Oryctolagus cuniculus: one gene and its partners. Each later gene encodes a partner of the first gene's protein in a complex. Links are inferred from orthologs where the notes say so. Each region holds a gene or a part of one and is shown in the gene's direction. Other genes may lie near its edges. The genes, in order: NR0B2, NR5A2 and NR5A1.

What was found.
Region 2: the proteins of NR0B2 (region 1) and NR5A2 are in contact, whole or in part, in a crystal structure (PDB 1YUC), measured with the Homo sapiens proteins. The link is inferred for Oryctolagus cuniculus from reciprocal best matches to the Homo sapiens genes NR0B2 and NR5A2. Residues at the interface, in NP_068804.1 of Homo sapiens: Arg17, Pro18, Ala19, Ile20, Leu21, Tyr22, Leu24, Leu25, Ser26, Ser27, Ser28; in NP_995582.1 of Homo sapiens: Phe354, Val357, Arg361, Phe366, Val371, Asp372, Gln374, Met375, Leu378, Gln379, Asn529, Asn530, Leu531, Glu534, Met535.
Region 3: the proteins of NR0B2 (region 1) and NR5A1 are in contact, whole or in part, in a crystal structure (PDB 1YMT), measured with the Mus musculus proteins. The link is inferred for Oryctolagus cuniculus from reciprocal best matches to the Homo sapiens genes NR0B2 and NR5A1. Residues at the interface, in NP_035980.1 of Mus musculus: Thr19, Ile20, Leu21, Tyr22, Leu24, Leu25, Ser26; in NP_001303616.1 of Mus musculus: Ile275, Val278, Arg282, Phe287, Val292, Gln295, Met296, Leu299, Gln300, Asn450, Leu452, Glu455, Met456.

The regions. Positions count from the first base shown.
Region 1 is NC_091438.1:144,598,879-144,606,210, forward strand, and holds NR0B2 (nuclear receptor subfamily 0 group B member 2), read left to right. Parts: upstream 1-3,001; 5' UTR 3,002-3,275; coding exon 3,276-3,816; intron 3,817-4,650; coding exon 4,651-4,892; 3' UTR 4,893-5,217; downstream 5,218-7,332. UniProt on the Homo sapiens protein: Transcriptional regulator that acts as a negative regulator of receptor-dependent signaling pathways. Specifically inhibits transactivation of the nuclear receptor with which it interacts.
Region 2 is NC_091444.1:16,220,621-16,227,995, forward strand, and holds the start of NR5A2 (nuclear receptor subfamily 5 group A member 2), read left to right. Parts: upstream 1-3,183; 5' UTR 3,184-3,431; coding exon 3,432-3,495; intron 3,496-7,375. UniProt on the Homo sapiens protein: Orphan nuclear receptor that binds DNA as a monomer to the 5'-TCAAGGCCA-3' sequence and controls expression of target genes: regulates key biological processes, such as early embryonic development, cholesterol and bile acid synthesis pathways, as well as liver and pancreas morphogenesis.
Region 3 is NC_091432.1:228,371,380-228,378,011, reverse strand, and holds part of NR5A1 (steroidogenic factor 1), read left to right. Parts: intron 1-2,686; 5' UTR 2,687-2,701; coding exon 2,702-2,803; intron 2,804-2,888; coding exon 2,889-3,030; intron 3,031-4,536; coding exon 4,537-5,162; intron 5,163-6,632. UniProt on the Homo sapiens protein: Transcriptional activator. Essential for sexual differentiation and formation of the primary steroidogenic tissues. Binds to the Ad4 site found in the promoter region of steroidogenic P450 genes such as CYP11A, CYP11B and CYP21B.

The DNA.
Region 1 (7,332 bases):
TAATTTGCAAAAGTAAAGTTTCAAGCAGGGACGGTGCTGTGGTGCAGCAGGTTAAAGCCCTGGCCTGCAGTGCTGACATCCCATATGAGTGCTGGTTTGAATCCCGGCTGCTCCACTTCCAATCCAGCTCTCTGCTATGGCCTGGGAAAGCAGTAGAGAATGGCACAAGTCCTTGGGCCCCTGCACCCACGTGGGAGACCCGGAAGAAGCTCCTGGTACCTGGCTTCAGATCAGCTCAGCTCTAGCTGTTACAGTCATTTGGGGAGTGAATCAGCAAACGGAAGACCTCTCTCTCTCCTCTCTCTCTCTCTCTCTTGTTCTCACTCTTGCTCTACCTCTCTCTGTAACTCTGTCTTTCAAATAAATAAAAATAAAATTTTTAAAAAAGTTTAGAGCTACAATTGGTTAAGATTACTGTGGCTTCCCCTGCATGCTACTTGCACATTGAATCAGGAGTTTCCAGAGAGGCCACAGGGATTTGGGCATCCAGCTGAGGGCAAGTGTGCTGGGGATATGTTCAGCTGGGGTGCGGTGGGATACAGGGAGGTGGCTGGCAGTTGCTTGTGGGTATGGCTAAGTCTTTGTGCGCTATCCTGATGTGGAAAGAACTTCAGGAACGTCCCCACCATTCACTGTGCATTGTACCCCTCACTGAGCAGGGTCTCATCCACACCTGTGTGGATAGTGATGGAGCAAGAAGCAAAACCATGTGTAATTTTTTCAATCACCACCACATGTATAAATTGTCATTTTCATGTTGACATAAACTCAAAAAGGATGTTACCTCCTATAAGGGATCTGAAGCATGTATAATCACAGATGCTCTGTGTATAATTTTATTGTTAATAGAAATTAGACAAAGTAGAATTTATCAAAATTTCTACTACACACATTCTCTCTCTCCCTCTTCTTCTCTCCCTCCCTCTCTCTCAAATTAAAAAAAAAAAATCCTGCTACAAACTTATGATCTGTACTGGTGCTAGTGACTGTGTGTAGTGGCCTATTTTATGTATCCTATCAAGAATAAAAAATTTGAGGCCGGCGCCACGGCACACTAGGCTAATCCTCCGCCTGCAGCGCTGGCACCCCGAGTTCTAGTCCCGGTTGGGGCACCGGATTCTGTCCCGGCTGCTCCTCTTCCAGTCCAGCTCTCTGCTGTGGCCCAGAAGGCAGTGGAGGATGGCCCAAGTCCTTGGGCTCTGCACCCGCATGGGAGACCAGGAGGAAGCACCTGGCTCCTGGTTTCAGATCGGCACAGGGCGCCAGCCGTAACAGCCATTTTGGGGGTGAACCAACAGAAGGAAGACCTTTCTCTCTGTCTCTCTCTGTCTAACTATGACTGTCAAAAAAAAAAAAAAAGAATAAAAAATTTGAAGACTGGTATTGTGGCACAGTGGGTTAAGCTGTCACCTGCAACCCTGGTATCCTATACCCAGTGCTGGTTCAAGTCCTGGCTGCTCCACTTCCTATCTATCTCCCTGCTAATGCACCTAGGAAAGCAGCAGAAGATAGCCCAAGTACTTGGGGTCCTTGCCATCAGTGTGGGAGACCTGGTTGGAATTCCAGGCTCCTGGCTTCTGCCTGACCCAGCTCCAGCCATTGGGGCCATTTGGGTAGTGAACCAGCAGATGGAAAATCTCTAAATAATAAATAAATAAATAAATAAATAAATAAATAAATAAATAAATATTTTAAAAAGACACTTTTTGATCAACCATGCAAGAGGAAAGATAAAATCACTTCTCTATTCTCACTGTAGAAAATAGTTTTTTAAAAATGATTGCCAGCCCCCCCCCCCCCGATCATGGGGTTATTCTCTAAGAGATTGATCCAGAGCTCTCTGATGAACTGGTTGATTCCAGGGACTGGGGAGGTTGATATCAGAAAACAAAGGAAGGTTCCAAGAATGCTGAGAGCAGATCAGGAGGGGGCTATCAAAGGCCAAATCTGTGACAATCTGGGCATCAAAATAGATAATGAAGGGAGGGTGTTGTGGCACAGGGCGTTAAACCACCACTTAGGACACCTGCATCCCGTATCAGAGTGCCTGGTTTAAGTCCTGGCACACTTCCAATTCAAGTCCCTGCTGAGGTCCCTGGGAAGCAGAGGATGATGGCAGGTGGCTGGCCAGGGTGGGCTGGGCAAGGTCTAGAGACCTCCTCACTCTCTCTCTCTCTAGCCCCATTGGCTACCGTCTGAGACGGATGTCAGGATGGAGGAGCCGTGTGGAAGTAGAGCGCCGTTTCTGTCCCAATCACAAGCAGGCCTGGCCCCACTCTGGGGGACTCAGGCCCTGGCTGCACAGTTGAGCCGGTGCGTCCCGAGGAAGGAGCCAGGACTTTAGGGTCAGGCAGCTCAGGGTCCCATTCCTTCCTGGAGGGATGGCTTTGGACACGTCACGTCACCCCTTTGGGTCTCACAAAGGAAGAATCCGGAGTCAACACTAGCTCTCAATATTGGATCGGAAGAGGCCTGGCCCCCAGCAAGTGCTCAATACAGGCAGCTGTGGTTTGTGCTCATTCTGGAAGGACTTTTCCGCAGCCATGACCTTTCAGGAGCTCTAGGTATCCAAAACTGGGACAGGGGAGTCTGCAGCATTGGGTTTCTGCAGGGCCCCCAGAACTGGAGTCAAAGGAGGGGCCACACAGCACAGTGGGCAAAGTCCTCCCAACCCCCCCACCAGGGTCCTGGCTCCCTTCCCCACAGCCTGTTTCTTACCAACAACACGAGCAGGGCCCCAAGGTTAGGCAAACAAGCTAGTGATAAGGCACTTCCAGGCTGGGCCTCGCACTCAAGGCTCGTCCAGCTCCAGAGCTGGCTTCCAGGCTTAGCAAGAGCACTGGCCTTGTGCACACGCAGGAGCAGGCACCTTTAGGGACACCAGCCACAGCCACATGCTGATTGTGCACCGGAGGCCTTGGTGCCCTGGTACAGCCTGGGTTAATGACCCTGTTTATCCACTTGAGTCATCCGATAAGAAGCAACCGGTCAGCAGGCAGGTGGCCCTGTGCCCCGCACTGGCTACTTCATTGACTGAAGTGATATCAGCGCCACGTGGAGCTCCTAACGGCCCCGCCCTCGCCACTTCCCCATCAGTCCTGCCAGGGTCAGTGTGCGTGTGCGTGTGTGTGTGTGTGTGTGTTTCAATGAACATGACTCCTGGAGTCAAGGTTGCTGGCCCATTCCTCCCTCCTGCCCACTGGGGATATAAATAGCGCTCGCAGCACAGCACAGAGGGCAGAGAGCAGGGAGGCAGTAGGAGTGGAGCCGTGACCATGAGCTCCAGCCAACCAGGGGCCTGCCCGTGCCAGGCCGCCGCAGGCCGCCCGACCATTCTGTATGCACTGCTGAGCCCCAGTCTCAGGGCCAGGCCCTCTCTCCCTCCATCACGCAGCCACTGCCTGTGCAGGGAGCATCGGCCCGTCCGGCTCTGCAGCCCTCATCGCACCTGCCGGGAGGCCCTGGACGTTCTGGCCAAAACAGTGGCCTTCCTCCGGAACCTTCCGTCCTTCGGCCGCCTGCCGCCCGAGGATCAGCGGCGGCTGCTGCGTGGCGGCTGGGGCTCCCTCTTTCTGCTGGGTTTGGCCCAAGACATGGTGACCTTCGAGGTGGCTGAAGCCCCTGTGCCCAGCATACTCAAGAAGATCCTGCTGGAGGAGCCCAGCTGTGGGGCCAGCAGTGGCCAGCTCCCCGACAGGCCGCAGCCCTCGCTGGCTGCCGTGCAATGGCTGCAGTGCTGCCTGGAGTCCTTCTGGAGCCTGGAGCTGGGCCCCAAGGAATACGCCTACCTGAAAGGAACCATCCTCTTCAACCCTGGTGAGCTTCCAGACACTTCTGGGTGGAGCTGGGAGGGGGCACGGGGCACCCTCCGAGGGCTCAGTATCTATTATACTACTGGGTCCCACAGGGCCATCTCACACGAGGGGCTGAGTGGCTAGCAGGTGGGAGCAGAGCAGGCGTGAGAACTCGGGCCGGGCCGGGCCCCCTGACCCTTTGAGGGGAGGGCGGCTGACACAGCCGCGTCTCAGCACGCTCTCAAGGGCAGGTGGCGTGGCGAAGCTTTGAAGGCTAAACTCCCGTGTGGGGTCAGAAAGTTCCCATGGCGGGGGGGATGGGGTGGGGTGGGGTGGAGAATGAAGGAGGTGCGGGGGAGGCAACTCAGCGGGGAGGGCTACAGATAGAGATGGAGATGGTGTCCTTTGTAATCTGGGGGCAGCTGAGGAAAGCGTGCCATGCCAGAAGGTCCTTGTGCCCACTGACTGCCCTCCCCGCAGCAGAACCTCATGGTGTGGTTACCATACGGACCTTTAGATGCGCTAACTCCTTTAACCCTCACGGCAAGTCTTGGAGACAGGTGCGGTCATTATCATCTCCACTATACAGATAAAGAAACTGAGGCACAGAGATTAAGCACCCTGCCCAAGGTCACTCAGTCATCAATGATGGTGCCAGAAATCCAATCCAGGCAGCCCGGTCCTTAACCCTTACCTTATATGGCCTCGCTGTCGATGGATAGATAAATAAAGTGATAAAGAAATCGATGGAGGAGGTAGTAGCGGAGCCTTGAAGGCTGAGCCGACGAGGCAGGTGATGCCTGCTGGTGGCGGGGAGAGGGTGCTTACCAGACCTGTCCGTCCTCTCTGCTCACAGGCGTGCCAGGCCTCCAGGCCACCTCCCATATCGGGCACTTGCAACAGGAGGCCCACTGGGCGCTGCGTGAAGCCCTGGAGCCCTGGTGCTCAGCAGGCCAAGGCCGCTTGGCCCGAGTCCTTCTCACGGCCTCCACCCTCAAGTCCATTCCGGCCGGTCTGCTCGGGGACCTCTTCTTCCGCCCCATCATTGGAGACCTGGACATCGCCGGCCTCCTGGAAGACATGCTCCTGCTGAGGTGACATGCTGTGGCCCAGGCAGGGGTCAGCCATAGCCTGTGCAGACGCTGGCCATGCCACTTCAGCCTGCCTGTCCCCAGGGGTGCCCCGCTGCTCCTGCACAGCCCCTCTCTCAGCCACCTCCGGACTGGGACTTCCTTGGCATGGACGTGGCGCTCCAGCTGTCTGGCAGGCCCTCTGTGGTCTCCAGAGGCTCTGCGCCCAGACTCCTGTCCCCTCCTGCTGATGGCAAAGGACTGAAGCTGCTCTTTGGGCCGGGGGAGTCCTGCTGGCTTTGTACAGAACTGAATTTAAGTTATTGGTTTTTGTAATAAAAGGTGTGACACTCTCCGAGCCTGCCACTGTGTTTTGGGCACACGACAGGGACTGTCTCACCTCCAGGGCCCACCTGCTCCTATCAGAGGAGGGCAGGGGTCGTAAGGGGCACAGGAGCCAGGCCTCAGGAAACGGGGGTGTGAGTTGTTCTGGCTGGGATGGCGATTTCATCTCTGAGATGAGATTCATTTTGCATGTGGGGGAGTTCTCAGCACACAATGTCACCTCCTTGCCTTTATCCTTGGAGCGAGAAGGCTCTTCTCCCTGTCCCACGCCTTCCACTAACCCGTCTCTCAGCGCCCGAGCCCTGCAGACTCCCTCTCTCCTCAGTGAAAGTTGGATCAGAGCCGGTCAGGAAGCAGCCTGTTCCCAAATTGAAACAGACCAGGTGACTGCAATGTCTGCAGCTTGGGACCCGTCACTTGGCCCATTCCTGCAGCTGGTAGCACAGGGGGGTCCATTATTTCCCAACAGGAGAGGGCAATGGCACCCGGGGCTGGCCTGGCAGCTACTTGGAGGCCAGGGCAGGCCAAGGTTCCGCTGGCTCACGATGGTGTGGCCTCATCTGTTGTTGGAGTCTGAAACACTTCCGCAACAGTTGGTTCAGGGCCACCACCTGTAGCTCCCTGAGTGCCCTCGCACCGCCCCTCTCCCATTATCTGTTAACCCAAGAGCCAACGCGTGCCATAGCCATGGCCTCTGCACTGCTTCATTCAGAGCCGGGCTTGGGGCTGTTCCGATCAGCCAGTGTCTGTGCCTCATCGTTCGTTAAATATTTGAACCCACTCTCCCCGGGGTCAGGGTGACTGACCTGAAGGGTGGACAGGAGGGAGCGATGACAACACCCTCGCCCGCGGGACTTCCAGGCCTCCTTTCCCCAGCAATGAGGCTGCCAGGCCCCGCCCCCATCACCACCACAGTTTGGATTCTTCTCACGGGGGCTGTTAATTATTGCCCAGTGAGAGGTCATTCACTTGGGGACAGCAGCCTGGGGGGTCATCATCCAGGCCTTTCTCTAGGGCCTCCTGCTGGGACCACAGCCGAAGTTGCCTGTAGGGGTGCCCAGTGCCAGCAGCAAGCAGCAGCACCCCGTCCCTTACCCAGCACCCCACATACACACACACACAAGTCAGGCACCAGAAAGACACAGAAGCACAGAGCTCCAACCACACAACCAAGACCCACGTAACTCAGCCCCGCAGCTCTGCTACACACACACACACACACACACACACACCCCAAGACGTACAACTCAGACCCACCCCAGCAGGCCCATGACACTGAGCCTCCATCTGCCTACACACACACTCACTGGGAAACACACAGGAGCCCCAAACACATTCACAGCAGACACGGGCCCCCACGCCGGGCAGCTACGCACCCCAGGCCGAGCACACTCCAGCTTCGCAGAGAAGGGAAAGGTGGCCCCCAGAGTTTGCAGATCTTCAGGGCCTGCCTAGAGCCCGCAAGTCCAGACCAAGCTGCTCTTCCAGGCATCTGAGGGCCTCATCTAACCAATAGCCCCTTTTACCCATGGTGACCCCGAAATCCACCCCCAGCCCAGCCAGAACCTAATGCAATCCCCAAAAAGAACAAGCCCTGCATCACCCCCGCTCCTGCTTCCCGCCAAGCCCCAGGCCTGCCCTCCCCTCCCCAGTCCTTGCTGACACACAAAGCCACTGGAAGTCACAGGACCCAAATTCAGCAGAGTCAGGGGTCTGGGGCCGTCCGGCATCTCTGAAGCCTTTTTCCCGACGGCTTCTGCTAACTGTGGAGCCTCTGAACCCTTCCTGCCTCTCGCTGCCCACGCCCCTCCTCCAGCCCTGACCAGTCATCAGGAAGCTGTCTTCCCCCTGTTGCCCCCGACTCCCCACCCCTACCCCCAGCTCCCAGCCTTTCACCTTCAACTCCTTTAATCTTCCCATCATCCAAGGAGCTTCCCTTTGTACCTCTCCTTTTCCAGTTTCTCCCCTGCCTTTCTACCTGGCTGGGGAGTCATTTCTTGTTTTCATCTCTCAAGTCCTTCCCCGCACCCTGCCTCCTAGCCTTGGGCATGGGACACAAAGACAAACATGGGAGAAGCTCAGAGACATTATGGTACAACGAAACCAAACAAGGGTACTATGCT
Region 2 (7,375 bases), on another chromosome or scaffold:
AAGTTGTATCTGCCACTGTGATTTAGAAAGTTTTGCAATCCTTAGGACCACTGCTGAGATCAGGGGTGACACTGTGAGGACATGATGGGATTCTGCATTACAGAATGTGTCAACAGTTGGAAAATCCACAAAATTCAATGAACTCACACTTTTCAAATTACAATATACATTACAAGACTCTGCACACGTAGAAGATGCATTTGAAGCATAAAATAGGCCAACAAATTTTCATGTTGTAGAGTACAAAAAAGTTCACTAATAATGATTTCGGATTTTCAAGTTTCAACAAATCCTCAGGAAAATACTACTTGTGAAGTTCTAGTGCAGTATCAAAGAAAAATATCATAATTATCTGAAAAAGCTATAATACTCCTCCCTTTCTAATTGCACATCTGTGAGTTCATATTTTCTCACATACTTCAACCAAGACAGTATCACTATAGAGAGAACGTAGAAAGGGCCAGGATGTGGCAAAGCAGGTTAAGCCAACACCAGCGATGCCAGCATCCCATATGAGCACTGGTCAGAGTTCTGTCTGCTCTACTTCTGATCCAGCTTCCTGCTAATGGACTTAACGAAAGCAGTGGAAGATGGCCCAAGTCCAACGTGGGAGACTGGGATGAAGCTCCCAGCCCCTTTCTTCAGCCTGGTCCATCCCTGGCCATTGCAGCTTTTTTGGGGGAAATGAAGCAGTATATGGGGGATCTCTATGTCTCTCTCTCTCTCTTGTAATTCTGCCTTTCAAATAAATAAATAAATATTTTAAAAAATTTAGAAAAATTGCAGAAGCAGATATAAGAATCCCACTGTCTTCACTAGGCCAGACCTTTTTTTGGTCAAAATGTAACTTTTAATTAATTATTTTGTTTTTAAAAAATATTTTTAATCTATAGTATACCATTAGGGCTGGACATATGGCCTTGCAGTTAAAGTGCTACTTGAGATGCCTACATTTCCTATCAGAGTACGTGAACTTGAATCCCAGCCTGCTCCTGATTCCGGCTTCCTGCCGATGCACCCCCTGGGAGGCTGCAGGGATGGCTCAAGTAGTTGAGTCCCTAGCACCCATGTGGGAAACCTGCATTGCATTCCCAGCTCCTGCCTTTGACCCGACCCAGCCCAGACTGTTCCAAGTATTTGGGGAGTGAGCCAGTAAATGGGGGCTTTCTGTTTGTATATCTGTCTCTACGCCTCTTGGATAATTTCTTTAAAAGGTGCCATTAAACTAATATGTGGCATAAAGGGGTAAGCCAACACTTGGGACACCTGTATCCCACATCGGGGCACATGGAATTGAGTCTCACCTCTGCTCTGATCCAGCTTCCTGCTAACATGCCTGGGAGGCAGTAGATGATGGCCCAAGTACTGGGGTTCCTGCACCCCTATGGGAGACCCAGATGGAGTTCCTGGCTCCTGACTTCAGTCTGGTCCAGCCCCAGCTCTTGCAGGCATCTGGGGGAGTGAACCAATGGATGGAATCTCTCTTATTCGCTCTCTGCCTTTCAAAGAAATAAAAATGCATAAATAAATATTTTTAAATGAACCACAGTAAAAGTAAGTTGATATATAATGAGTTAGGTATTATTTTAATAAGTTAAATATAAATAATAAACATTTTAAAGTCTCTCTGTTTTAATTTTTAACACAACAGATACTAACAAGTATAAGTTGTATAAGCAACAGCTTTTTGGATTCCTAAATCAGTTAAACAGAACATTTGCTTTCCAGTCACATGTCCTTGAACATACACACGGGTCCACTTCTGGTAATATGCCATGATTAGTTAAGGAAATAACAGCAAAAAGCTGACAGGATAATTGTAATTACCCAATGCTTTTTCGTTTGGGTACTTATTTAGCTGTCTGGCTAAAAACACCTCAGTTGCCTTTCTCCCTTGCAGCTAATCATAGATGGGTATCTACCTGTGGTCCAGCGAGACCGACAGAGAGAGCCTGGTACTTTAAGGAAATGTTCTCAAAAAGGAACATGCTTCCTCCCCTCGTCCTCGATTCTGCTTCCTAAGAGCGATGGCTGGAACTCTAGTAGCCATTTTGGAACATGAGGATGAGAGTTAGCAGAAAGTAAAAAAGGAAGGAGTGTGGTCTGAACCAGACTTGAAGAGCCATTGTTCCATCTCTGGATTGCCCACCTCTCAACTCCACTTAGAAAAGAGAACTAAGCATCTTGTTTCAACCATGGTTATTCAGGTTTTTCTATAATATGTAGTCAAGACTAATTCTTAAAAAAATATATTTTGAATAGGAAAAACAGTGTATATAAATATTTTTATAGGATCGTAGACCAAAGGAATACAAAGTTACTCAATTAACAAAACCCAAAAAAGAAAAACAGCACACTTCCACAATGTGGGAAAAGACATGCATTGCTCTAAGAATCTGGATTTTATTACTTCGAATAACAGTAGGGATATTCAACAGAACAAACTATCTTTGGCCATTTGAGTACTACTCCTTTAGTGCTAAAGAGTAGCACAGATTTTCTTCATGGACCCAAACAAATAAATAACAACTTTAAAGTTATAGAAAAGCTACTTACACATTCGTCATCTTTCAGCATTAATCTCAAAGTGTAGGTTTTGCTTTATTGGGGAGAGGTTGTCCTTTTAACCAAATGTCCAATGTACAAACAAGCTCAAATGAACTCCTTCACTAATGAACAGTTACGACTTAAAAAAAAAAAAAGAAAGAAACAGGTGGTTGACCAAAACATGACTAAATAAATGGCCACAAGCCTGGCGTGGCAACCCGTGGTGTTTCAAAGTGTGGATCATACCTGCAGTCAGCCCTCCCAGAATTAATGTCTGTCAGTGTTTATCATCTAACCCATATTTGCAGAGGTCAGAAGAGCCCCGTGTGCCCTCCTCTATGCAAATAGCTGATGACATCAAGGGGCTATGTCACAAGCCTGAGTTTAGTTAGTGGATTTAGGCTGGTTTGCAGTTTTATCCACCAGGTCTGATCTGACCCTCGGTTTTACAACTTTCCACTCTGGGTGCTGCATAGCGCCTCTCCACTTCTGAGTTAATCATTTCTTTGCCATTATCTGCCAAGAGTTCTTATCTCTTCTGCTGTCACTTTATAACAGGGTCCGCTTATCGACCTGCATACAGTCATGTGGTCCAGTGAAGCCTATCAGAAGTTTCCATTCTTCTGATTAGAAACCATCGTGAAACTGGATACATGGTTTACAACAGGTCACTCACGCTGGAAACAGTACAGAGTCCAGGGAAAGACTTGCTTGTAACTTTCTGAATTCTGGATTTTTTTTTTTTCTTTTTCTTAACTTTCACTAAGGGTTACTGTAGTCTGATGTGTCTCTTCCCAAGGCCACAAAAGATGACAAGCTGTATTTTTTCTTGCGCTCCATGATTTTTGCTGTGAGCCAAAGGCCTGCCTGTGCTCTCACTGAGAATGTCTTCTAATTCGGACCCTGGGGATGTGCAACAGTATCTAAAGCGCGGACTCACACCTACCGGTAAGTAGCAGTCGCTCTATTTACCACCCAGTCACTATTGTGCTACTACTGAATACATGGAACTTAATCTCATTGACGGTTTTGCATTTTAAGTCAAGGATTTTCTTTGTGCTTATTAAAAGCCTATAATAAACCCACGCATATATTACACATTTTTCTTTTCTGCAGTTCAAAAAAGCCTAGTGGCTAATTCCACATATGAATATTGTTATTATTATCCACTGTTTTTGGACGTCATTCTATTAGCCCAAAACAGCCAGAAAATATTCAAAATAGATCAATTTTATCCTTAATAAATTCTGACAACTTCTAATAGGAAATAATAAACTAAAATTTGAACAACTTGGAACAAGCCAATCATACTGAGTGATCACTAATCAAACTTTATCATAGTTTTCAAGTCCCTACAGATACTGTAGAAAACTGGTATTTTTAGCAAATGAAAGTCATGAAAAAAAAATTAAGCATTAGTTAAGAATTAGAAAAATTGCTATCTTCTGTAAAAATAATGACCACGTCTTGCTTTTACCGAAATAGGTACATAGAGCTACTTTTCATTTTAAACAAGAAAAAGGACAGTCACGAACTTGCTCATTTCCCTGCAAGATTACATTCAGTGAATGCTAAGAGCAGAGGCGGGAAGGGCAGGGACTTGCAGGGCTCTGAGCAAAGCTCCGGGACCCGATTTTGCGGGGCCGTGCGGGGGCCTTGCGGAGCCCGGAGTCCCAGCGGCGCCACCCCGGGCCGGCTCGGGCTTCTCCCCTTCCCCCGGGGCTGCCAGCTGACTCCACCGAAGGCACTGATTGCCTTTTTTATGGGCCAACTACACCCTAAAGTACTCGTACATCAACTGAGGAAATGTTTACCAAAAAAAAAAAAAAAAGTTCTGTACTTACGAAAAAGAAAACACGGGGGAGGCACGCAGAGTGCACCCGAGAATCAATTGCTCTGCAGATAACAAAGAAAATGCGGGCGCAAGCAAGCGTGGCCAGAGAACCCCGGAACGCCTCGGGCTCCGCGGCCGGGCGGCCCCGCGGGCGAGCACTCGCTCCCTGCCGCCGCCAAGCCCTGCGCGCGTCGGGCCGGGGGCGCGGGTGGCCCGGGCGGCGCGCACGGGCGGTGCGCGCGCCCCGCGGTGCGCGCGCGGAGAGGTCCCGGGCTCCGGCTGCGCGCGGCTGCTGCAGGCCGTGACGGCCTGCACCGGGCTGGGTGGGGGTCGCGCGCGCGCCTCGCCCGCTAGGCCCCCCCACCCACCAAGACCCCAGGGGAGAATTAGAGGGGGAGGTGGGCGGTGGAGCTGGGAGACGCCCGGCCGCGCCCTGCGGGGCTGTGCGCGGGCAGGGGCGGGGCGCTCCCGAGCACACCCGCGGGTCTGGGATGGGCGGGAGGCGGCTGTTGGAGCCCCGCGGGGTCCCGCAGGGCCGGAGCCTCGCGTGGGAGAGGCACGAGCTCACTCCTGCACCCTGAAGCCATCCGGCGCACCGCCAAGTTCCGAGTTTCTAGTCAAAGAATCCCCTTCCCGGCTGTTCCTCGCAGCCGCCCGGCCCAGGCGCGCCCCTGTCCCCTCTGCAGATGCCGCAGCCCCGTGATGGTGTGGCTTCCCCAGGGGCGACGGCTCGCGGTCCTGGACGGTCTGTTCAGCCCCGAGGGCCGTCGCCGGGGCTTTTGGCTGGACCGAGCCGTCGAAAGGGCCGGAGGAGAGGAGAGGAGGCCACGAGCGGTTGGCAGGCTGACCCCTTTGAGTGGGTCTTTCTGACTACCCCGGGGCTGAGAAGCCACAGGTGCAGCTGCAGGGAGCGGCAGGAGTCCCCGGGTGGCTTTGAGAGGGCAAAATGCACGTGGGAGCGGGGGCGGGGGTGGGGGGAGTGGTGCCCAGAACCGAGCCAGAGCCTGCAGACGCCAGGGTCCCACCACCGCTGCATTTAATCCCCTCCAGTCCTCCTAGGAGTTGTGTTACTAAAAGCTATTTGCGTGGCCTTAGCTGTCGGGGTGAGATCCTCCTTGCACCGGGGGTGGGGGGGGGTCGGATGAGGTGTGTGCAGAATGACCACAGGTGTTCCTCCTGCCTGCGACTGGAACCACTCAGTGTGGCTTCAGGGCAGCAGACTTGGGCTGAGACCAGACTCTCTGCTTGGAGTTGACTGGCTCTGGGGTACTGGCCAGATTCTTGGTTTCTGGCCTACATTATTTCCTTTCTCCCAAACAGGCGGAATGATACCTAGTCCTAACTTAATAGGCTTTTTCGCCCTATCTGTATCAACCAAACAGCCATGTCTGTAGGTGGAACACAGGCTTATTTTATTGTGTCTATCACCCCCACCCCGATGCCAGTGTTCCCAACATTAGGCTTGAGTTGCATTAACTTTTACATAGTTCTTCAAAGTGCATGCACAGAATGCTATGCACGTTCCATTTCATACCATACACTATCCCCAGGACAAAGGAGTGTGTGATAGAAGGTTTGCTTTCTGGTCCCCTGAACACTTTTGGTGTCTGATTTTCCTTCAGAGATAACCTCTAGCAATGTCCAGGGTTATCTTAGATTCAGCCTTGAACCTGAGCTGAGCCAGAGAGGGGCTCTGGAACACAGAGGTCCCTGGCTCCCTCAAAAAAAAAAAAAAAAAAAAAAAAAAAAAAAAAAAAAAAAAAAGCAGCTGCAGGGATGATGTAGGCAGGGCAAGTGTCAGAAAGCAGGTCCAGAACCCACACCAGGATGCAGCTGCTCCTTGGAGTTGAACTTCCTCACTCTTAACCTTAGTGGGGACAACCTTCTCTGAGAAGTCCAGTTGGCTTCCAAGAACTTGAGGAGTTTGGGGAGTGTTGTACTCTGTGGAGGCCCTGGAGGAGAGAGCTGAAATATGACCAGTGTGAGCTTAAGAGATTAACCTTGAGAAAAGCAGGTGGACTGAAATTGACCCGACAAGTTGATAAAGGCTCTTTTTTTTTAAAAGCATTTTGGGAAGTTCTGTTATATGTATGTTTGTGTGAATGATAGGAAAGATATACTTAACACTTATAGTCCAAGTAACCTGAATACAGATGCCGTGGACAGATTTGAGGGTCCCTGAACACCATGTCAAACTCTGCAGGGTAATCAAGCTCACAAGCACCTGCCCCGGAAGGCTGCATCCTTACCCATCCTAGAGTGGCTATTGGCTCCCTCTTTTCTACACGATTTCCCTTATAGAAGATGAATCTGAGTGAAGTTAGACGGACTGGAGGAAGAAGAAGTGGCATTTGTTAGCCACAGGGTGAGCTGCTTACCCGGCAATGTCTCATTTATAAAGTTTACTTTGTTGCATCCATTTCACCCATTGAAAAGGTGGGCTCAGAAAGGTCTCCGTGTGGGGGGCGGGGCTTATAAGATGGGTGAGCTGCAAATAGAATCCCCCAAGTAGGATTCTGAATGCCAGGCTGTCTCCCTGAGGTAGTAACTGGCACGTGCTCTTGTTAATACAAAGAAATAATGATTTCCAGCAAAGTTGCTCAACTCAGACTTTCTTCCAAAAGACCTGTGGGCTTAAGAAAGACATTTGTCAATGGTTTTATCTTTCTTTTCGTTCTACTGTGGAAATCAGATTTGGATCCCTGTAGGATTCTGAAGGGCGGGATGGGGCTGGGACTACAGTAAGAACAGCATCTGGGAGTGCTGAGGTCGGTGCCGGGGTTGGGAAGGCACCCCGCTCTCCTCTTGCAGGGGTTCCTGGAAAGGATCTCAGACTGGCTGTGGTGTAGCTCAGCGAGGTGCCCTGTACCGGGAAGGCTGAACCAAGTGGAAACTCAGAGCATCTACTTGTTGCAGAGCCAGAGCTGGTGGGCTTGAGGGTGGGGGGGTGGTGGTGGTGGTGGGAATGTCTCAAATTGACTGGGTTCAGCTATA
Region 3 (6,632 bases), on another chromosome or scaffold:
GCAGGAGAAGCCCCCGCTCCCACCCCCCAGCCACCTCCTTCCCCAGGGGCTCGTGTGGGCGGGCGGGGGCTGCGGCTCTCTCACCTCCTCACCGGGATTCTTCCTTGGCCTCTCCTGGAAACCGCTCAGCCGCATCTGGAGGGCCGATCTCTTCCGTTTTCTGTGCGGAGAAAACGAGGCTCAGAGACGCGGAGTGCTTTGCTCTAGCTGGCCCAGCAAGCTCGCGGCAGATGGCACTCCCTCCGCGGGGCGAGCGCGCTCGGGGACGGTCTGCACGCAGAGCCGGCCCTCCGTTCGCAGGACCCGGGCGCCAGCCCCGCATGGAGCCCCTCGGCGGCTCGCGGCTTTGGGGTGCCGCCGTCCCCGACACCCTCTCCACCCCAGGTCGAGCAGTGGAGCCCTTCCTCTCTCGGTCGCGGCCTCAAGACTGTCTCGGACGCAAGGCGGGAGCGGCACTGGGGCCGCCCCTGGCCAGGAGCAATTTCTCTGCGCGTCCTGGCCCCCGGGCTCGGGGGCCCCTCTGTACCCAAGGCTGCTGGGCCTCCCCTTCCCCCACTCCCAGCCCCTGCCAGGAGAACTCGGAGGGATTAGGGGCGCCTCTGCCCTTGGTGGCGCCGCTGGCCCAACTTCCGCGCCCCGCCTGGCCTCGGGGACTCCCCAGGCGCCTCCAACTCCGTTCGATTCGTATCCGCAGCAGAGCAAACTACGGTTCGTGGAGAAAGGGCCCTTCCGCCATGCCAGGCACGTGCCCGGCGAGTGCCATTCCGGTTCCTCCTCACCGGCGCCCCTGGTCATCATTCCCACTTCACAGATGCCGAAACTGAGGCCAGGCGGTGGGGGAGGTCCGCGGAAGGCCGCTGTGGGGAAAGGGGGCTGGGCCGAGGAGAGAACCTGGTTTCAGGCCTTGAACCCGTGCTTGCCACCACGCCCGCGCTCGCCCTTACCCACTTCCACGCTGCCAAACGAGAGGCGCCCCCAAGTTGGCCCTGGCCACGGCTAAACCGGGCTTGCAGACAGGCGCGGGTCCTCTCCCACCGCGGGTGCGGGGCTCGAGGCTCCCGGGCGCCCGACACCTGCCCGGATTCCGGGTGCTCCAGCTCCGCCGCGCTCTGGCTGCGGACGGGCTCCGGGGGCCGAGATGGTGATGGGGGCGCCGAGAGGGCCAGGGTGAAGACGCGAGCCAGGCTGGGGGGTGCAGGGCAGGGCGCTGGCCGGGCCGGGAGAAGATGCGGGCCCGTCCCCCGCCCCCGGATACCGCACGCTTCCATATAGAGGGGCCGGCCCCCTCCCCGGCCCCGCGCAGCGGGTTCGCGCAGCGCGCAGTGGCGGCGGAGGGGCCCGGGTCCCAGGTGCGCCTCGGAGCGGCCCTGGAGCGCGGGGGGCGGGGAGGCGGGGGGGGGGAGTGCCGAGGCCCCGCGCCCCCGCCTCCCCGCCCCCGGCCCGAGCGGCCGTCATCGCGGGCGGGCGGCGCTGTGCCCGGGTGCGGCTCTTCGCCGGCGGCGGCAGCGGCGTGGCCGGGAGGTGCGGGACTCCGTGCGGGCGGGACGCGGGGCGCTGCTCGCAGGAGCCGCCAGGTGGGCGCCGGTCGGACCGCGGCCGCCGTCACTCCCCATCTCTCGTCCCGGGGCCCCGACTCTGCGCGTTCCCTCCTTGGGACTTGGACTCTGCGCCCGAGGTCGCTCCGCCGCCTGGGGTGCGGCCTCCCGGAGCGCTCGGGGTCTCTGCCCGCGGTCCCCGCCGCGCCCTCTCCGCCCGACGTCTGGCACTCGGCGGCGAGGGCAGCTCCTCCCGTTGCCGTCGCGCCGCGGGCTTTGTCTCTCCGGCCCGGGGCCGGGCGGCTCGGCGCTCTCGGGCTGTCTTGTCCCGGGCGCCGTCGGGCTGCGCGCTTCTCGCCAAGGGCCCCTGTGCGGGTCCGGCTCTGCGGGGCCGCGCCTCGGCCCTCGGGCTCTCGCTTCGCCGTGGTCCGCGCGCCCCCAGGCCCCGACCCTCCTGCTGGGTGCCTCTGTGTCTCCAGGTTTCTCCCAGCGTCTCTGTTCTCTCAGCGTCTCTGTCTGGTGACTGTCGCCGCGTCTCGGACCCTGCGCCTGTCTCTCCAGGTTTTTCCTTTCTGTTCCCTTCTCGCCAGCCCTCCCTTGGTCTTGTGTCTCCATCAGGTCCCGTGCCTCGGCGACCCCGTGTCCCCGTGGTCGCCCCCGGGTTGGCTCGGGCACCGCGCGGCTGGGGGGCTCGCTCTGCCAAGCCGGGGCGTCTGCCTCTCTCCCAGCCTCGTCTCTGCCTCCTCGGCTCCTCGGAACGCTCCAGGGGCCCTGCGCCCCCACTCCGCCGGGGTTCCTCGGCGTCTCCGCCCGCGCCCGCGCCCGCGCCCGAACCCTCTCGTTTTCTCAGAATCCGGGTTTTGTTCTCAGACAAACGAATCCGGATCGAAGCGCATCGAATCCGAGGGTCCCAGATCGGGCGCGGCGGGGACCGCGCGGGAGGAGTCTCCAGGAGGGGCAGCGACGAGGGCCGAGCGCCGGCCAGGGCCAGCCGGGCACGGGCACGGGGACGCAGCTCCCGCCCCGCTGCAGGCTGCCTGGGGCGCCCCGGGGCAGAGCGCGACCGACCCGCTCGGAGGGCTCGTGGGGGCGGCGGCCGCGGGGTGCGGGGTCGGCCCAGCGCCCGCAGTGACCCGCTCCTCCCTCCGCAGGCGGACGCGGCGGGCATGGACTATTCGTACGACGAGGACCTGGACGAGCTGTGCCCCGTGTGCGGGGACAAGGTGTCCGGCTACCACTACGGGCTGCTCACGTGCGAGAGCTGCAAGGTGAGGCGGGCCGGGGTCCCGGGAGCGGCGGGGAGCGGGAGCGGGCGGCACCCCGGGGGCCCGCGCTCACTCCCCTGTCCCGCAGGGCTTCTTCAAACGCACGGTGCAGAACAACAAGCACTACACGTGCACCGAGAGCCGGAGCTGCAAGATCGACAAGACGCAGCGCAAGCGCTGTCCCTTCTGCCGCTTCCAGAAGTGCCTGACGGTGGGGATGCGCCTGGAAGGTGCGCGCCCGCGGGCTTCGGGCCCGACTCCCGCGGCCGAGCAGTGGGGGTGGGGTGGCGCTGAGCGAGGGCCCGAGGGGCAGCCCCACTGCCGGGTGGTGTGGGCCCCGGGCCTGCGGAGGGCCAGCCTAGCGGCTGCAGAGCCGCCCACCTCCTACCCCCACCGCGGGTACCCAGCACCAAGGCTTTCATGGCCTCGGCCAGTTCTCCTCCTGGTGCCCCCACTAATGGGCCAGCTGGCATCAGGCAGGTTCCTAACCTCTCTAAGCTGCCCCATCTGGAAAATGGGCTTACAGTAGCAGGACCCACCGCCCACCCCTCTACCCCCAGGTCTAGTGTTAGGATTGGCCTGCTTCACAGTGACGTGAGGACCAGCCCGGCAGGCGGTACCTGGCCATCGCCAGTATTGTCATCATGGTCCTTTCTGCTGTTCTCTGCCCACGGTCCCTGGCCAGCCCATCTTTTGTCCGTCCAGCCATCTGCAGCGTCACCCAGTCCTTTCACTGCGCAGGAGACATTCCTCCCCCACGTGCTCTCAGCCAGGCCCTGGGAGGGCTGGGAGTGGGGAGTGATTGCCGGCGGGGGACCCAGGCCCGCCTCGTCTGCCTGCCCGCAGCCCCCGCTCTCAGTGTAGGGACTGGAGCTCTCTCGGCTTGCACCCCGCTGGCCCCAGCCGGGCCGTGCGCCGAGCAGGCAGCTGTTGGCTAAAGCTTTAGAACGGCATAGAAGGCTCCCGGGGCTCGAGAGCTGCAGCCCACACGGCCTGCCACCTAGAGGAGGGGTCCCGGACGGGAGGGGGCTGTCCTGCCCTGTCCCCCAGCCCACATCCTAGCTCCAGGTCCCGGGGGAGCGGGACCCTGCTGTCTGCTCCCACACCACCATCCCTGCTCGTCCCCCCACTCTCTTCCTTCTCCCCGGGCTCAGGGTGGGGTCCTGTTTGCACAGGGGCAGGGGCCACACTCCAACTGCAGAGATGCACCTGTTGGGTCTGGCTGGTGACACATTCTTGGCCAGCCCAAGGAACATCTGGTCAGCAAGAGAGGTCCCCTCCCCCAGCACAGAGCCCCAGCGAGCCCTAAAGTCAGCTTCTGATTGGAAGGCAATGTGTGAGGCAAGAGGGCTTCAGTCAGTCCAGCTTCTGGTCGCCGAGTACCCGGATGTGAACAAGGCTAACTGGGGCCCCTTCCTGTTGCCATCTCCCTGCCAGGCCCTGTGCTGGGCACCAGAGCCCAGAGCCAAGCACCCAGGAGCTCTCGGCCTGTGGCACAGGGTACAATACACTCAGTGTGAAAAGGTTGGGCAAGGGGCAGGCTATCAGGGACAGTAGGTTCCGTGTGGGGGTGAATCCCGGAATACTTCCTGGAGATGCCTGGTTAAGGAGACTGACGTTGCTGGTGTGTAGTGAGTGTGGCAGTGACCTAGTGTGCTCTGTGAGCCCAGGGTCTGTGGTAAGGGCAGTGGAAGGTGGTGTGGAGGCTGAGCCTGACCCTCTGCCCCTGCCCACAGCTGTGCGCGCCGACCGCATGCGGGGCGGCCGGAACAAGTTTGGGCCCATGTACAAGCGGGACCGGGCTCTGAAGCAGCAGAAGAAGGCGCAGATTCGAGCCAATGGCTTCAAGCTGGAGACAGGGCCCCCGATGGGGGTGCCTCCCCCTCCCCCGCCCCCCCCGGACTACATGCTGCCCCCCAACCTGCACGCATCGGAGCCCAAGGGCCTGGCCCCGGGTCCGCCCGCTGGGCCACTGGGCGACTTTGGGGCCCCGGCACTGCCCATGGCCGTGCCCGGGGCCCACGGGCCACTGGCCGGCTACCTCTACCCCAGCTTCCCTGGCCGCGCCATCAAGTCCGAATACCCGGAGCCTTATGCCAGTCCCCCACAGCCTGGGCCGCCCTACAACTACCCGGAGCCCTTCTCCGGGGGCCCTGGGGTGCCCGAGCTCATCCTGCAGCTGCTGCAGCTGGAGCCAGACGAGGACCAGGTGCGCGCGCGCATCGTGGGCTGCCTGCAGGACCCGGCCAAGGGCCGCCCGGAGCAGCCCGCGCCCTTCGGCCTCCTGTGCAGGATGGCGGACCAGACCTTCATCTCCATCGTGGACTGGGCGCGCAGGTGCATGGTCTTCAAGGAGCTCGAGGTGAGTCCCCTCTCCCTCCGGGGCCGCCCCGCCCAGTGGCTTCAGGCGGTCTGGGGGCAGGGCGGCCGCGCCAGCCCCCACTGCCTCCCTCTCCTCTGTCTCTGATGGCCTCTGCCTCCCCAGCCCCTTCTGTCTCTGCTTCTCTATTCCCCTGTCTGGGTCACTCACAGCGTTTCTGTCTCCTCCTCTGAGACCCTGGGCTCCCTCGAAGGACCACGTGAGTCCCTGGGACGCAGTCTTGTTCCCAAGAGGCCAGCCCATCGTGTCCTCAAATGCCAGTACCTCTGAGCTTGGGCTGTGCGTGGGTCTTTCCCCTTCTGCCTGTGCATCGCGTGTGTATGATGGAGGTATGTGTTGGCGTGCGTGTGTGCGTGTGTGTGTGTGTATGCAGGGGAGCTAGGCAGGAGAGGAAGAGGGGGATTCCAGGGCTGCCACAGATCCCAGACAACCTCGCCTTCCTCTGTGGACTTCTCTCCCCTCAGTTGAGGTAGCTGGGGCTAAAGGAAGCAGAAACGCAGCAGGAGAAACCGAGGCCAGACATAGGGAAGGACTTCCCAGTCATTGGCCTCAGCGTGTGAAGGGCCTGAGGCCCCCCTCGTGCCTTGGCTCCTCTTGAGCCTCCCCAGAGGCCCCTCGAGCCTGTTCAAGGCTCATCCCCCTCCTTTAGCCCCGGCCTTTGGGGGCTGCTCTTCCCAGACTGGCCCTCCTGACTGCTCTGGGGCTGACCGTAAGTAGCAGGGCCTGTTGCCTTCCGTGCTGGGGCCACGGCAGCCTTGAGCGGCATTGTCAGCACTGACGCCATTCAGGCCCGGGCTTCCTCCAGGGCCATGTGGCCGGATGGGCCCGGGGCACTGCCTGCCCCACTGGCATGGAGGGGAAACATGGTGGGGCGTGGGCACCGTGCATGCAGGGGGCAGCAGGAGGCTGGGCCTGGGCTGACCCAGGCCTGCGCCGAGGCCAGCTGCTCTCTCCGGCCCCTCTGGGCTGGCCTCCTGCAGGGGTGAGGGGCAGGGCCTTGGATGCTCTCACCTGCTGTCACCTGTGGCTAGAGGCCCTGGCAGGGACATGGAGCTTAAGTCCTTCAGACTTCCCATGAGCCCCCTGTGCAGAGGGGGAGGAGCAGAACATTCCCAGCCTTCCAGAACCCTGGATCCAGGGGCGGGGCACTTCCTCTGGCCGCCTTCCTGCTCTCCGGGGGCTTGCACGCAGGATGGGAGGGGCTTTTGTCCCAGCTCCGCTGAGTGTTTTTTCCTGCTTCTGGCTTCTCTGTGGTCCAAACCTTCCTGCTTCCCCTCCCCAGAGCCTCTGAGCAGAGCCCAGGATGCACCCTGCCACCCCCACGTTGGTAAAGGACCCTTGCAGACAAGCACCAGCCCAGCACCTCGAACCTCACCTGTTGGCCATGTGGGGAGGGGTGCTGGGCTGGATCTGATTGCAAAGTTCGGGACGAGGCGGTAGAAAACCGGGGAC